Linked DNA regions of Mus musculus. The protein of the gene in region 1 purifies or fractionates together with the protein of each later gene. This does not show direct contact. Links are inferred from orthologs where the notes say so. Each region holds a gene or a part of one and is shown on either strand. Other genes may lie near its edges. The genes, in order: Ap2a1 and Ralbp1.

Evidence for each region.
Region 2: the proteins of Ap2a1 (region 1) and Ralbp1 purify together in Homo sapiens (affinity purification with mass spectrometry; 5 studies listed by BioGRID and IntAct, with this or other methods). This does not show direct contact. The link is inferred for Mus musculus from reciprocal best matches to the Homo sapiens genes AP2A1 and RALBP1.

What each region holds. Positions count from the first base shown.
Region 1 is NC_000073.6:44,898,112-44,905,496, forward strand, and holds the end of Ap2a1 (AP-2 complex subunit alpha-1), read right to left. Parts: intron 6,640-7,385; coding exon 6,542-6,639; intron 6,358-6,541; coding exon 6,126-6,357; intron 6,046-6,125; coding exon 5,878-6,045; intron 5,791-5,877; coding exon 5,630-5,790; intron 5,417-5,629; coding exon 5,351-5,416; intron 5,090-5,350; coding exon 5,033-5,089; intron 4,946-5,032; coding exon 4,863-4,945; intron 4,728-4,862; coding exon 4,638-4,727; intron 3,604-4,637; coding exon 3,480-3,603; intron 3,390-3,479; coding exon 3,273-3,389; intron 3,196-3,272; coding exon 3,126-3,195; intron 3,011-3,125; coding exon 2,876-3,010; intron 2,705-2,875; coding exon 2,627-2,704; 3' UTR 2,262-2,626; downstream 1-2,261. Other genes in the region: Fuz (protein fuzzy homolog), read left to right, coding at 392-589, 665-760, 874-980, 1,063-1,127, 1,201-1,275, 2,022-2,236.
Region 2 is NC_000083.6:65,849,097-65,856,676, forward strand, and holds part of Ralbp1 (ralA-binding protein 1), read right to left. Parts: intron 5,104-7,580; coding exon 4,996-5,103; intron 3,716-4,995; coding exon 3,594-3,715; intron 3,148-3,593; coding exon 3,024-3,147; intron 1,100-3,023; coding exon 854-1,099; 3' UTR 1-853. UniProt on the Homo sapiens protein: Multifunctional protein that functions as a downstream effector of RALA and RALB. As a GTPase-activating protein/GAP can inactivate CDC42 and RAC1 by stimulating their GTPase activity.

The DNA.
Region 1 (7,385 bases):
ATTGGCATCCCAGGACCTCCTGGTGCAGGCCTGTCACCCCAGCTACTCTGGAGGCTGGGGAGAGTATGCAAAGTTTAAGGCCGGCCTAGGCAGCTCAGTGAACACATGACTCAAAAATTCAGTATGACTTGGCAGGAGCAGCCCCATAACTGAAGGAGAAATAAATTTTAAGAAGCAAACAAACAAACAGATAAAATAAGTGTATGGAGAATTGAGAGTGCTGACTGATCAGGAAGGTTAAAGTATTCTCGTTCACAGAGAGGGTGTGAGACAGGAGCTTGGCAGCCTTGCGTGCTAGGGTGTCTCTGGTCTCATGGCTGCTCTTCCCCTCCCTGACTAGCCGGGAAGGTCCCTCCTTGCCCTATGACATCTAGTCTGACCTTTTCACCAGGAAACCCTTTCAGGGTTTGCAGAGGCCACTGGCACAGCCTTTGTCAGCCTGCTTGTATCAGGCCGAGTGGTGGCAGCGACAGAGGGCTGGTGGCGCCTAGGCATGCCTGAAGCTGTACTACTCCCCTGGCTGGTGGGGTCCTTGCCACCACAAGCTGCTCGAGACTACCCGGTGTATCTGCCCCACGGGAGCCCCACGGTGAGTGGGCGGGACCAGGGCGGGGCTTCCAGCAGGGCGGGGCCATGCTTAGCCCTATCTTGTGCCCGGCTACAGGTCCCACACAGGTTGTTGACCTTGACGCTGCTGCGTGGCCTGGAGCTGTGTCTGCTGTGCGGGCCGCGCCCGCCCCTTGGCCAGCTGGACCCACAGGTGAGGCGGACTGTTGCAGTGCTGCCCCTGTGCATCCCCTCCAACAGCGCCACCTGCTGCATGCAGGCCCTGGCCAACCAGCCCTGACCTCGCTCCCCATCTCACCCCCGTAGTTAATGGAACGCTGGTGGCAGCCTCTACTGGAGCCCCTCCGGGCCTGCCTGCCACTGGGCCCTAGGGCGCTACCCGAAGGGTTCCCACTACACAGCGATATTCTTGGGTAAGGCTCGATGGTTGGGCCCAGGGCCGGGAAGGCCATTTGCTCTGCCAGTTCCCCACAGCCTGATAGTGCTTTCCCCCAGTCTGTTGTTACTCCACTTGGAACTGCGACGCTGCCTCTTTACTGTGGAGCCCTCCAAGGATAAAGGTGCGTGGGAACGCAGTGAGTGGGAGGGCCGTGAGCCAGAGGCCACCTAGTCAAGGTGCTCCCTCTTCTTTAGAGCCTTCCCCTGAGCAGCGCAGGCGCCTCCTTAGAAACTTCTACACGCTGGTGGCCACCACCCACTTCCCGCCAGGTGAGTGGTGGGCATGGATCCCACATGGCATGTACACCCTGAAGCCGAGAATGCACCACATGCCTGAGTTGCCCCTGTCAATCTTACTAAATCCCTGACTTCTTCTTCAGTCAGTGTTTTTACAGTAAGCACAGGCTGGACATTTTGTCCCATGCCTGGAATGTCAGCCCTACTGTGGCCAAGGCAGAATGACCACGGGTTTGAGGCCACTTGGGCTATCTAGTACCTCCAAAGACCTGACAACTTACTGCTCCAGCCTCCTAGGCAAGCACTGTCAGTTGTGCTGATCCCGGTGATCCTAACCGCTGAGCAATGCTAGGTGGCAGTGCTCAAGCAGCCACTCCTGTCACCCTCCACAGTGCTGGGCACAGCCTTGCTCAAGCTGAGGCAAGTGAGGAGCCTGCAGACTCCACATTGGGAAGTTGTCCCAGGTCCCTAAGGCCCCAAGAGACACAGGCAGGGACCTAACGGTGCCCAGCCGGATAAAGACCTCACAAGTGTGCAAATCTGGAGGCCTGCACTTGAGGACAGGGTGTGATCCTCTGGAGGGTGACACCAGTGCTGAGGGCACTTGGGGTCCACTGCACGTTAGGTCTGTGAGTACACGGTGGTCATAGGAAGACCGCAAGGCTAGGCGGGAAGAAGCTGATCTGGGAGTTACTGTGGAGGAATGGGCTGGGCTGAGGGGTACCAGGCCCAATGAGGAGGCTGTGCTGCTCAACACAGTCCTCTCTGTCCTTCCTCAGAACCAGGGCCTGCAGAGAAACAAGAGGACACAGTCTACCCAGCCCAGATGCCCAGAGCCTGTTATCTCGTGCTAGGGCCAGGCATGGGGTGGCAGCTGGTGGCTGTGCAACTAGGGCTCCGGCTGCTACTATTGCTGCTCTCCCCTCACACCCCCACCCACGGGCTGCGAAGCCTAGCCACCCGCACTCTGCAAGCCCTCACCCCGCTCCTCTGATCACTCAGGGTGGGCAGTCAATAGCTGGGGTAATATTAGCGTCTCTCTGTTTATTCGCTCACAATAATACACAGCCCCTGGATGGGGAAAGGGAGGAAGGGGGAGGGTGACAGGGAAGGGGGGGGAGAGGTACCTACTTCCTCGGCCCCTCTCCCCTCTGTGCTTCGGGGGACAAGGGAGGGAGGGTGCTTCCCTTGACCCCCCCCTAGAATGTAAACAGCAGCAGATGAACAAAAATAAAATACAAAAGGCCAGAGGGAGCTCCCAGGCGCCCCCACCCCGGGCTCTTTGCTGTCGCCACTGGAGGGCCCCTCGCTGTCCCGCTCCACCACAGCTGCCTCCATCCCAGGGCTGCCTGGCACTGGCCATATACCAGGGCAAGTCCAGGGCTCAGAACTGCTGGGCCAGCAGCTCACACAAGTGACGGGAGACAGGCTCTTTGCTGGTGCGCAGGGTTAGACGGTACATCTGTGTGGAAAGGCGAGAGCCCGACAAGGGTACAAAGTCAGAGGGGTAAGGTAGGTTAAAAAAAAGCCAGAGGAGAAGTTAATGAGAAGCACAGGAAGGAGGGCTAGGTGCAGGGAAGGCGGGGTTCGCAGGGAAGGTGAGGTCACAGGGATGCCCACCCTCTGCACTCACTTGGGCCTGGGCATTGGGCTCCAGCCGAAGCAGACACCCCACCTGCAGGGCCTTCGTCTGGATGATTCCAGCACCCACAAAGTTCTCAGGGTTGGGATCCACATTGTCCAGAAGAGCAGAGCCAAACCCCAGAAGCTGCAACGACATGGGTATTAGGGAAGCAGAGCTGAGAAGCCTCCAGCCTACTGCAGGCTAAACTCTCAGGGGTGAGAACTGGTCCCAGCACCTGATAAACGCCCGTCTGTCTCACCTTGGCCTTAGTAACTTCAGCATCCATCGGGTGGTTGGCTTTGAAGATTTTCTGTGCCTCCTGCAGGGGGCTGGAAGGTTGAAAGCACTGTCAGGCATCTGAGGCCCCGCCCTCAGCCCTGCCCCGCCCCTCAGCCCCGCCCCTCACAGGCTCAGCTGCTTCCAGCGCTGGAAAAAGTCTTGGGCCGCCATCTCTGTGGGCTGGAAGAATTTGTTGATGGTCACTGGGAGCTTCAGAGTGAGGGACTGGGCGGTGCCACCGTACCTGAGCAGATGAGGAGCAGCTCAGCTGGGCCCCATCCCTGAAGACACTGCCTCACTGCCCTACAGCCCACACGGTGCTGCTCGCACTTACCGGAAGCGCACCGACAACAGTGGCGGCGTCAGGAAGTCTCGCAGACACTCAATGTTGAGTACTTGCTGCACCTGTGCGCCACCGTCCACTTGTGCCGCCACACGCTTGGTCTGCACCGCCAGCTGTGGCTCCATAGTCAAGGAAGCCAGGGACAGCGGTGGCACAACTGAGGCATCTTGAGGAGCGCAAGCCCAGCAGCTAGAGGCTCTGGGCCACTGCAACTGGCCTACACCTAACTCCTCCTTCCTCCTGTGAGATCTGGGACCCCTGGGAATATACTTCTCCAGCCTCCACTCCTAGCTTCAATGGACCCTAGTGGGCACGCTGGGACTTTTAGCCTCCAGTGCAAACTAGGTACATAAAAGTGTCCTGAGGAATAGATGAAAGCACCCAGCACCACAACATGCCTGTGTTAGTAGTGGTCATGCACCCAGATGGAAGCAATGACTGTCACCATCTGTACACAGGTCTGATTTCATGGAAATGGCTGGTATCTACACTCACCTACTCTGCCCTACTTCTGACAGAGCTTTCTACCCTGGGCTCTGGAAAGGCTGGTGAACGAAGCAGAAGGGGAAAGGCCAGTTAGTCTCACACATTCAGAATGAGGCCAATATAAGGGAGAGGGGGCCTGGCTCTGCCATACACATTCCAGGACATCCCAACTGCTCTTCCAAAAAAGCCACGGAAGCCAGGCTCACTGGTGCACACCTACACTCACAGCGTGGGAGGCAGAGACAGAAGACTCACCTCGACTCAAAGCCAGCCCATTCCGGAGCAAGTGGAGGTCAGCCTGGGTGATATTAAAGTTTCACAAACAACACAAGATCCTCATAAGCAGAAAGAGAGAAGCTACCCCCCGGAGGGTTAGGAGGCAAGTCACTCAGCTGATGTAGTGCAGGCCAACACTGCAGGCATCCCTGGTTAACCTGAGTGCAGCAAAAGTAAGGTGCCTGGCAGGGTACCTGGTGTGCTGGAAGTCACATACTGCATACTGGGTTACTGTCACCTGTGCCAGAGTAAAGAGGTCTACCAGCTATGAATAGTTTTACAAATGACATGTGCCTAACTCAGAGGGAGGGACTGAGCAAGTATGGACCTGGTAAGTGTTTCCCAGGGGCTTACTGGGGTGGGGTGGGGCACAAGAACACAGGATATGAGTCTGGAGGTCCCCAGGATGGACCACGGTGGGCAAGAAGTTCTGGAACTGCACAGAAGTCTTGTTGCCATAGAAGAGATACATGCGGCCTGCAGCGGGTGGGTGAGGGCTCCATCCAAGCTCCTCTGATCCCATACCCTGCCACCAGCCCAGCCAGGGGATACTGCCAACAACCCCACCCCTCCCCAGCACCCCTATTCCACCTCTGGGCCACCAGGACACACCCAGGTTCTGCCGGAACTCAGACTTGACTCCAATCTGCAGCAGCTGGTTCTCAAACAAGACCCCACTATTCTTACACACGAACCTAGGCAAGGTGGTGGGAGTCAGAATGGGAGGGCTCCTGTGTTCCCCACCTGTCCCCGCTCCCCTGCCCACCTCTCCCAGAACTCACTTATTCAACAGTTCATCTGCTTCTGGAATGGGAGGGCCTATGTCCTCAGGACCTGGGCTGGGGGAGAGGAAGAAGGGTGATGCCTAGGGGGCTGGAGGAGAAAGGCACAGGCAATGCTCTCTTGGAAGGAGACTCCCCAGAACCTACAGGCCAAGCTTCCCCTGAGACCCTCTGTTATGGGAGTGGGACCCCAGGAGAGGGATCTCCCAAGAACCCCAGCTTTCACTGTTTTCTAACCCTGCGTTTGCCAGTCACCAGGCACCCTTAAAGCCCACCCTGGGGACATCCATCAACCCAAAGCCAGAGGCCACCCCTTACTCAGCAGCTGGAGCTGGGTCAGCCAACAAAGCCATGGGGCTCTCAGGGGCAGGGGGCTCCAGCTCGCTGGGCCATCCAATCCCAGAGCAGACAGAGAAGACAGGTGTGGCAGGCAGCCAATCCCAGAGAGGCAGCAAGAGGGCCAGGGAAAGAGAGGCAAGAGGAAGGAGAGAACGAAGAGTGGACTGAGACACAGCTGTGGGAAAGGACAGCAAGGGTAGCTGGGCCACAGAGTCCAGACAGAAGGGGTGGGACTGATAGGACAAGGACAGGAGCTACCTGAGGAAGGCCTCCTCAGGAGTGGGCCCCAGGCTGGGCTGTGCAGTGGGGCCGTCAGAGAAGACATCCACCAGGAGGTTCCCGCCTACGGGAGCCGGGGGTGCAGCAGGGGGAGGGGCTGCCCGCAGCCCTAAGAGGTCCGCGGAGGGTGAGGGGGTCGACTGCAATCAAGGCAAGACAGGGTACAGGTGAGGCAGGGCAAGGCAGAGTGGGCCCAGCCTGGGCACATGGTCCATAACTGGGCTCACCACAGTGCTGGGGGTGGGCTCCACACCCCCATTGATGTCATTGCTGCTGGTGTCCCTGCGGCTGTCATCTAGGGCACTGGCTGCCCCAGGGCCCTTCTTGCGCTTCAGCTTGGCCAAGATGGACGACTCCCGCTCGGGAAATGGGGGCATTTCTTCTAGCACCGTAGCCTGTGGGCAGGACAGAATGTCAGGGGCACTTCTGTCCCAGGAGGGTGGGTGGTCCCAAGGACTCGGGCATTGGCTCTAACCAGAACATCGGTGCTGGCTACGGAGCTGAGGGTGAGGTACTCCACGGCCCGCTGCTGTAGCTCCACGTCGGCATTTCGCAGCTGGGAGCCGGCACGCAGAACCCCTTGGATGGTGGCCTTGGTCTCAGGGAAGAGGTTGATGAACTTGATGTAGGTGGACAGCAACAGAGCGCGGGTGGCCACGCTGCACAGGTGGAACTTGGAGTGCAGCAGCGAGAACTGCACTGGTGGGCTGTGAGGGAGGCGGCGTCAGCAGACATGCCCATCACCCACACTCCCCAGACGAGGCTGTGTCCTCATGCAGGGGTAACTGGGTTGTGTGCCGAGAGGGTCCCTAGGAACCCCACCCTTTCCCAGCTTGCAGCCACACTGTTTCCCCAGGCCCCTAAGAGAGCACCAAAATGAGGCTCCCTCACCTGGAGCGTGGGTCCCCAGCAATCAAGTTCCCAAACTCCCCAAGGATGTAGCCACCGACCTTCACCATGTTCTCATGACAGGCTGGGGCCTGGAGGGCCTGTGGGGGGAGCAAGAGAAGACAGGGTTTGGACAAGGACAGGAGAAACAGGAGAGTCCCTGTGGCCTCTGCGAATGTACACAGGGAGACAGAGGCCTGGGGGAGTTGTGAGGTGACTAGCCTGACTCAGTGTTCCAGTGTGACTGAGATCTCCCACACATACCATACATACTTCTAGTGCTTGCTCCCCTGCCATTGGTACTGTTTAGGAAGGTCCTAAAGACTGTGGAAGGTGGGACCTACCTGGAAAAGGGAGGGCACTGGGCAGGGGAGTTATCTTTGATTACTTCCTAGACAGCCATGAGTAGCTTCCACTCCATGTTCTGCGTGCACATGTGTGCACATAGGACTCCACGCCCATGTTCAAGGATAAGAAGGCCCGAAGATGCCAGGCATCTTCCTCAATCACTCCCTACCTTATTTTTTGAGACAGGGTCTCTCACTGAACCCAGAATTCCCATTTTGGCTAGCTTCGCTGGACAGCCAGCTCCCAGAACCTGCCTATCTCTGGCCCACAGTGCTGGAGTTACACACACGCGCACACACGCACACACGCACACGCGCACACGCACACACGCACACACACAGCTTCTGCATGAGTGCAGGGACTGAAACCCAGACTCTTGCCCTAGCCCAGCGGGCACTCTACCACACATCCCTGCAGCCATCCACTCCCTGTCACGACTGACTGCAACCCCTGAGCCTGTGGAGCAGTGCACAGGGAGGAATGAAGGGGCCAGCTCTCC
Region 2 (7,580 bases), on another chromosome or scaffold:
AAAGGTGAACGTTCTGCGTGAGAGCATTTACATGGCTTATCCTGGCAGAGGTGTGTATCCTAGCCCAAGCTAGCAGCTGAAGTCACTGTGGTTTTCTTGGAAGGTCAGTGTGGAGAAGGGCTCTGGTTTGAGAAGCTTCCTGTGCAACGCCTCAGAGTCAAGGTGGTCACCTCCGACCACCTCAGAGAAGAGGCCTTTGCTGATCCCTGGCAGTGAGTGAGTGGCTTGCACTGCCCAGGCTGGTGGCAGGCTGCACAGGTAACTTCTGTCTGCCACCAACCTGGGCCGTCCTGACTCACACAGACAGACCCAACTCGGAAGTGGAAAAGCAACGTGGTGCAGGGAACCCCAGCGAGAGCCTTTCTGGCCAGTCAGAGAATATGAGGCAGCTCCCCACTGAACAATCTGCACCAAAAGGTGTGGAAGGCACAAACAAGAGTGGCCAGAGACCCTGCAGGGCTGGGGAGACCACGAGCGTCCACGAGGCAGGCGCAGAAGTGACCTGATTTGGTTCCTACCCTTTGATAAGAAAGAGAGCCTGATTCTGCTGTGATTTAAAAAAAAAAAGCCAAAGAAAAGAATTTTTGGTTTAAAAAGAAGCCACTCAAAGGTTAAAATAGTTATTTTTAACAAAGAAAATTATTTTTCAAATAAGCTGACACTATCTGGAAATGCCTGTGTTCCCTGCAAGCCCCCCGTGTGTCCACTGCTTCAGCCTCCCAGGCCCTGAGCCTGACACGGAGTCAGACGTGTGTGAGAGGGGACGTCTCTGAGAGCGAGCCTTTACAGAGTGTCCAGCAGGCAGGCGGCTCACTCACACTCACAGTAAGATGCACAGGGCCCGGCCCGCAGCTCAGATGGGCGTCTCCTTCCGGTCTTTGCTGGGCGAGGCCTTCGCCTGCTCCTTGGCTACCCGCACCTCGAGGACACCGTCACAGGGCGGTGGGCCTATGCCCCCTCGCCTCTCGGGCTCCTCCTCCTCCTGCGGCTGCTGCTCAGACTTGGCTCGCTGCATCTGGAGCAGCCGGAGCTGCACTCGGAGCTCGATGATGGCCTCCCGCTCCTCATGGACTGCTTGGTTCAAGTGATTGTTCTTTATCTTAAAGAATGACAGAAAGGGCAGTTACCACTTAAGGGCACAAGGAATCTAGGCAGAGCACAGGCTGCAAGCCATCCTGAGAAAGATCTAGTTCTATTCTAGCCAGCCTGGCTGGTGCAGCATTAGATAAGAAGATGGATATGTGGCTAGGGTACAAGCATCACTCTGAATGCCTGAGTATGGACTCTGAGTTACAAAGAGAAACACATTTAGGAAACGATGTGTCACCAGAGCAGTGAGGACAGGGGCCAGGGCTGGGTAAAAGCTGAGACTCTTCCCAAGTCAAAGTCTCTCTTTACTGACCACATCTGAATTGTGCTCCTTGAGGAGTGTGGGAACCACAGCTGCTTAAATGCTGGGGACTCACTCATTCAGCAGGAACTCACGGGTAGCTCACCCCGAGCTCCTGCAACCGCCCCAGCCATCGGAACACCCTTCTTCCTCGGGATTTCCCCGCATCCTAAGCAGCTGTGCCCACAACTCGACTTTGGTTCAGTGAGGTGAGCAGAGGTGCCAGTCCCACTGCTCGCTCGGTGTGACACTGGGGAAGCCCTGACCCGTCCCTCCCCAACTGAGAACACGGCGAGATGCAGGGGAGCCGCTTTGGCTCGAGCAGGCCCTACGCCACGTGCACAACAGAACACTCCCGATTCTGCCATTTGTTCCTGTTCAGGAAAATGGAGATCAAACCAGGTTGCCAATGTGTCTTCTAAATGCCAGAATTCCCAGCAACCCGTCTCACTCACACTAACTTCCTTTCTTATGTTTTCCAAAACAAGGTCTCAACTCTGTAGACCAGGCTGGCCTCAAACTCAGAGCTCTGTGCGCCTCTGCCTCCTGAGTGCAGGGATCCCTTAAGGGGTACAGGTGCGTGTGTGACACAGGTGTGTGCACGTGAAGGGAGTTGGCTTTAACTCCGGGCCTCAGCCTCACTGCAGCCCCTTCACCAGTGGGGCCATGTCCCTGGATCCTATCACACAGTGGATAGCAGAGTCCTGGGCAATCCTTAAAATATTATTTTTATTTATGTCTGTGTGAGTGTGTTGAGTCCCTTAGAACCAGAGTTAGACAGTTAAGAGCTGCCATGTGGGTGCTAGGAAATGAACCTGGGTCTTCTGGAAGAACAGCCAGTGCTCCTAACTGCTCAGCCATCTTTCCAGCCACAGTAGTTTTTCTATCTTTCTGTTGTTTTTCAAGCCCCAACTGTCCTGGACTCACTCTGTAGACCAAACTGGCCTCCAACTCAGAAATGCCCCTCTTTGCCTCCTGAGCCACCGCGCCCAGCCTCTGTGCTTGACCCCATGCGCACTTGCCTGGCAGGCAGTTCAGTGAACATGAATGAAGCAAAGGTGTCTGTTTACCTAGTCGTCCTTACAGAAGACAATGTTTATTCAGGATGAAAAGAGAACCCCGCTTAGGCCAGCATCTCCCTCTCAGTCCAGCTTCCTAGGCATCCTGTCACACCCACTCCTCTGTGGTACCCCACAGACTACAAGAAAGCCACTGCAAGGCGACTTAGGACAGTGGCCAGGCGCCTCTCACCTCTTTTAGGCTCACTTGTAACCAAGGTCAGGGGAAAACGCCCCACTCCAGACAGCCTAGAGCACACATTTCATCCTGCTAACAATGCCCTTGAGGGCTGGAGAGATGGCTCAGCGGTTAAGAGCAGTGACTGCTCTTCCAGAGGTCCTGAGTTCAATTCTCAGCAACCACACGGTGGCTTGTGACCATCTGTAATGGGATCTGATGCCCTCTTGTGGTGTCTGAAGACTGCTGCAGTGTACTTCTCATATACATAAAATAAATCTAAATAAAGTAAATCTTAAAAAACAAGTGTTCTTGAATTCCTCTCCACCGTAAGTTTCCAGTGAGAAAATAGGTGGTTTGTGGTCCCAAGACCCTCTGGAGGCTGTCCCCCACTCACTTCTAACTCCTCGTTCTGCCGCTGCAGGTCCTCCAGGATGAGCTGCAGCTCCTCCTCGTCCTCGCTCTCACTCTCGCTGTCGGACGAGTACTCCTCCGTCTCACTGCGGCCATGCTGCTGACGGCTGTGTGGAGACGAGGCAGCACTACAGTGAACTCCGAGGCCGGCTAAGACCCACCCACGCCTGAGCATCGACCTGACCCAGTGCTGCCTAAGACCCAGTAAGGAGCTTAAAGTGACTGATTTCAGAAACCCAGTTCTTTCCAGGAATGTCTAAAACAGTGGTTCTCAACCTGTGGGTCACAAGCTCTATGGATGCCAAACAACCCTTTCCCAGGGGTCGCCTAAGGCCACCATCTGCATATCAGTATTTACCTTACAACTCATAATGGTAACAAAGTTACAGTTATGAAGTAGCAAGGAAACAATGTAATGGCTGGAGTCACCACAACAGGAGGGGCTGCTAACGGCTCCATGCACAAGGAAGATGAAAACCACTGAACTTTTAGCTCAGCTCTGCTCATATACAGCACAACCCGGCTGGAAGCTTCCAGTCCGAGGCCCCTGTACCTCTGGATCTCCGCAATTTCAGCTCGGAGGCGGTCGATCTCTTCTTTCTCTGAGGCGATCTGACGACGCAGGAACTGCTCCATGGCCAGGAGCTCCTCCTGTTCTGTCAGGATTTCATTCTCCTGAAACAATGACAATGGGTGGCACCTGTCTGAGCTCTGCTAGAGGAAATGCCACCTCTCCAGAGCCTCTCCTGTCACCCTGCTCGGTGCTGAACACAAGTTACTACAACAAAACCATGCCACTGTCTCAGAATCAAGAAAAGCTACACCAAGTCACGTTGAGAGAAGGTCTAGACCCTTCTTAACAACAAAGTGCACACAAGGGCCAGCTGTAGCTTCTGCAAGGCTCCCATGAGCCCCCTACACCCCGGCAGAGGACCCAAAGGCAACATCTGCTTTGCCTTGCTCGCGGCCGAAGAGACTGCTCGGCGGATACGAGCACTTGCTCTTCTTCCAGAGGACCCACATCTGGCTCCCAGCAGCCACATCAAGGACTCACAACCATCTGTTGGAGGGAGGTCCAACACCTTCTTCTGGCCCAGGGGGGATCTGAATGCATGTATGTGCAATACATATGCACAAATAAACATGATCTAAAACTCATCAGCTTTGGCTTCCTGTCTCTCAGGATTCAGGGTCACAGTGACTTTTCAGCATCACTAGGAACAGGACCCAAGAGATGCATGTGTGGCTGGTACCAGTGTCAGGTGTGGGGCAGAACAGACAGAAGGAAAGGTTACAGGATCTCCCTCACTGTCCCCAGCCACGCCCTTCAGATCAAAGTAAGAACTCTTGACAGGTTAACCATTCCTAAACTGCTTGAGAGCAGTGATGTGGAGAGCGCCCTGCCTGCACTCCAGCTAGGGCTCTCGGGTCTAGAGCAAACAGTAGAGAGAAGATGCCTTGGAGGCAAGAGCACCAGCAACTCCTTCCAAACAAGGGGCACCGTGGGCACCGTGGGCACTGTGGGCACAGTCCAGGAACCACTGAAAAGTTCCCGAGTGAGAGAGGCCACTTCTCCATGCTCAAACACAGACCCTCGTCGTTTACCTCAGAGCATATATGGATGAAGTTATACTCCAAGAAAGCTGAGGTGGGAAACTCTAAGAAAATCATCTGGGGCTTCTCTCTCCTCAGAGTTTTTGTTTCTGTTCTTGTAAATCAGGAACATGCCACAATACTTCTATGTCGACTTACAGAAACGAGGAAGCTAAACAGAAGGCAGCTTCTTTCTCCCTCCACACTTAACATTTCAGCACACACAGCACAAGGGTAGGGCCACAGAACAGGAACAACTTCTTTGGAGTTCATTACAATTTTGGTTTTAAAAAGTCTATAGTTGTGCTTCTATTTGAAAAATGACCAATAAATCCCTTTAGAAATCAAAAGGTATAGCTTGCCTGGGCAAGAAGGATATTTATAACTTCTTCGTTTTCATTCATTTCTTCTTTGGAAACATCCTCTTTTGAAAGACTAGCTATCTCCTGTGCAATCTTGGTTTCACACTCCTGTCAAAGACAACACATGATGAACTGTTCGGCCTACATGTAACACACAATCAACAAATGGTCCTCTTAAATTACAGAAATGAAGAAAACCCCAGCAGCAGTAGGGAACTGTCTGTAATGATGACCGGACATTTGCTAACTAGGCTTAGAATATACTGTAGGTAAGAGCAGGGATGGTGGTACCCGCCTTTAATCCCAGCACTCAGGAGGCAGAGGTAGGAGGAGCTATGTGAGTTCAAGGCTAGCTTGAAGTTCAAGGCCATAGTAAATTCCAGGACACCCAGGACAACAGAAAGACCCCATCTCAAAAAGAAAAAACCAAATCAAACCATAAAAGACTATGATGTGGTTCGAGACTGCAAGGTGGCCCCGTGGCAGACACTTGGTATCAAGAAGCCTTCCCTAGGACTCACACAATGCAGAGAACTGACTCTGGCAAGTTGTTCTCTGACTTCCACACTCGTGCCACTGCATGTCCATACCCACATGCACACGCACACACAAAGAATAAACATTTTAAAGTAAGAAAAGACCATGACATGGTTATCTCGGTCTGTGGCTACACTATGAAAAATGCTTATTTCTGATGAATATGCTCCCTTAATCCTGACTGCATGAGATGTCTTGAAGGGAGCTACTGGGTGTCAATTTCATAATGTAACTAATTTTACCAAATACACATAGTCAAGTAACCACCACCACCCTGTTAGGAAACATTGCCCTTGCTCCATCTGTTGGTGCCCAGCACCACAGACCTGCTCTCAATCCTAACAGCTTCTCTCTCGGGTCTCAGATGAACTGGCTCAACAGGTCATTTCTCTCTAGCTTTATACTTGGCTTTAAGATGCTTCTGTCTGTTATGCTGGTGTGAGTAGTTGCTCAGTGACAACCAGTGTGTGAACTGTGGAGAGCTTTTGGAGCTGCTTGGCAGAAATCTGACATTGGGGTCAGGACAGGGAGGTAGGTTTCAGGCAGGAATCTAATTTTGGGTCAGGACAAGGAAGCAGGCTCAGGTAGGAATCTACTTTTGGGCTAGGACAGGAAAGGAAGTCCAGGCAGGAATCTGATTTTAGGCTAGAACAAAGAAGTAGGCTTAAGCAAGAATGTGACTTTGGACTAGGACAGGGAAGTAGGCTCAGATATCTTGGTCATCCTGATAAGGCCTAGAAACTTCGATCCCGGGGCTTTGTTTATTGCCTTGCTTGTTCCTCGCCTATTTGTGTTTATTGTCTTGCTTTTTCCTTAACCTAGAACTGACCTAATTACTTGCATGTAATTAAAATGGTATAAAAGCAGATTGGTAAAAAATAAACCCACCTCAGTCTCAGAGCTGGTTGGGGTCATGCTGCAATGTTGTCTAATTGTCTTTTTTCTTTTTACTCCTTGCTCTTGCCCTGGAGAACTTGTTGACTGACTGAGCTGGCTTGGTCAGATGGTGCCCAACGTGGGGCAGAAACCTCCAGAGACCCAGGGCAAGAGTTAAGGAGGACTCTGGAACTGTTTGTTCCTGAGGTGTGTATGTGTGTGTGTGTGTGTGTGTGAATGAGTGTGAACCACCCAGAGGGTGAACACGCACCAGTGAGATACAGGTAGTGAGGGCAGAGGGAAGATGGGGAGGCTGGAATGAATGCATCCTAACTTTATACCCTCTCACCAGCTGCAGGGCTCTGGGGCTGCTGCTTTAGCTGTTATGAACAGTCTGCAAATGTTCTGTGAAGGCTTATGGGTTGTGGCTGCTTCTCTTAGAGGATAATGGCTGAGTGAAATTTCTGCACTATACGATTGATAATTACATGGTTAATTTTTGGGAAAGTGCCAAGATGATATCAGGGTTAAACTGGTGCTATATTTTTCTTATTTTCAGTCACTAATCCACTGAATGATACTTCTTTAAGTAATTTCTCCCTCAAAAGAGAAGCCAGCATGAAGGAACCTGAGCATGTAGTTACAAAATAAGTCATCAAGGAGAGGGAATGGTCAGGGAGAGAATACAATTGGTAAGAGGAAAAAGAGAAGATAGCTGTCCCTTGTCATACAACCACACTGCCTCTGATATATGTATGTGTGTGCTCACAAACAAGTATAGTCATGTACTTGTATGCACATTTGTGTGCACGTGTGTAGAAGTCTTTGTTGGGTGTCATTCTTAATCCATTCTCAAACTTTTTTTTTTTTTTTGAGTCAAGGTCTCTCACTTAACCTTGACCTCTAGACTATCTGGCCTTCAAGCTCAGGGACCTCCTGTCTGCCTTCCCAGTGCTGAGATTACAGGTATAAGCCATAACACGCGAGTGCTATGGACTGAATTCTGGTACTTATCTTTGCAAAAGCAAGCACTAAGCAACTAAGCCGTTTCCACAGCTAGAGTCCTTTTATTCAACACAGACACACATAACGAAGAGACACAAAAGCCAAACATCCATCTATGTCCCGGACTCTTCACATAAGGGCTGCTGGACAACGCAATTAGATCAACA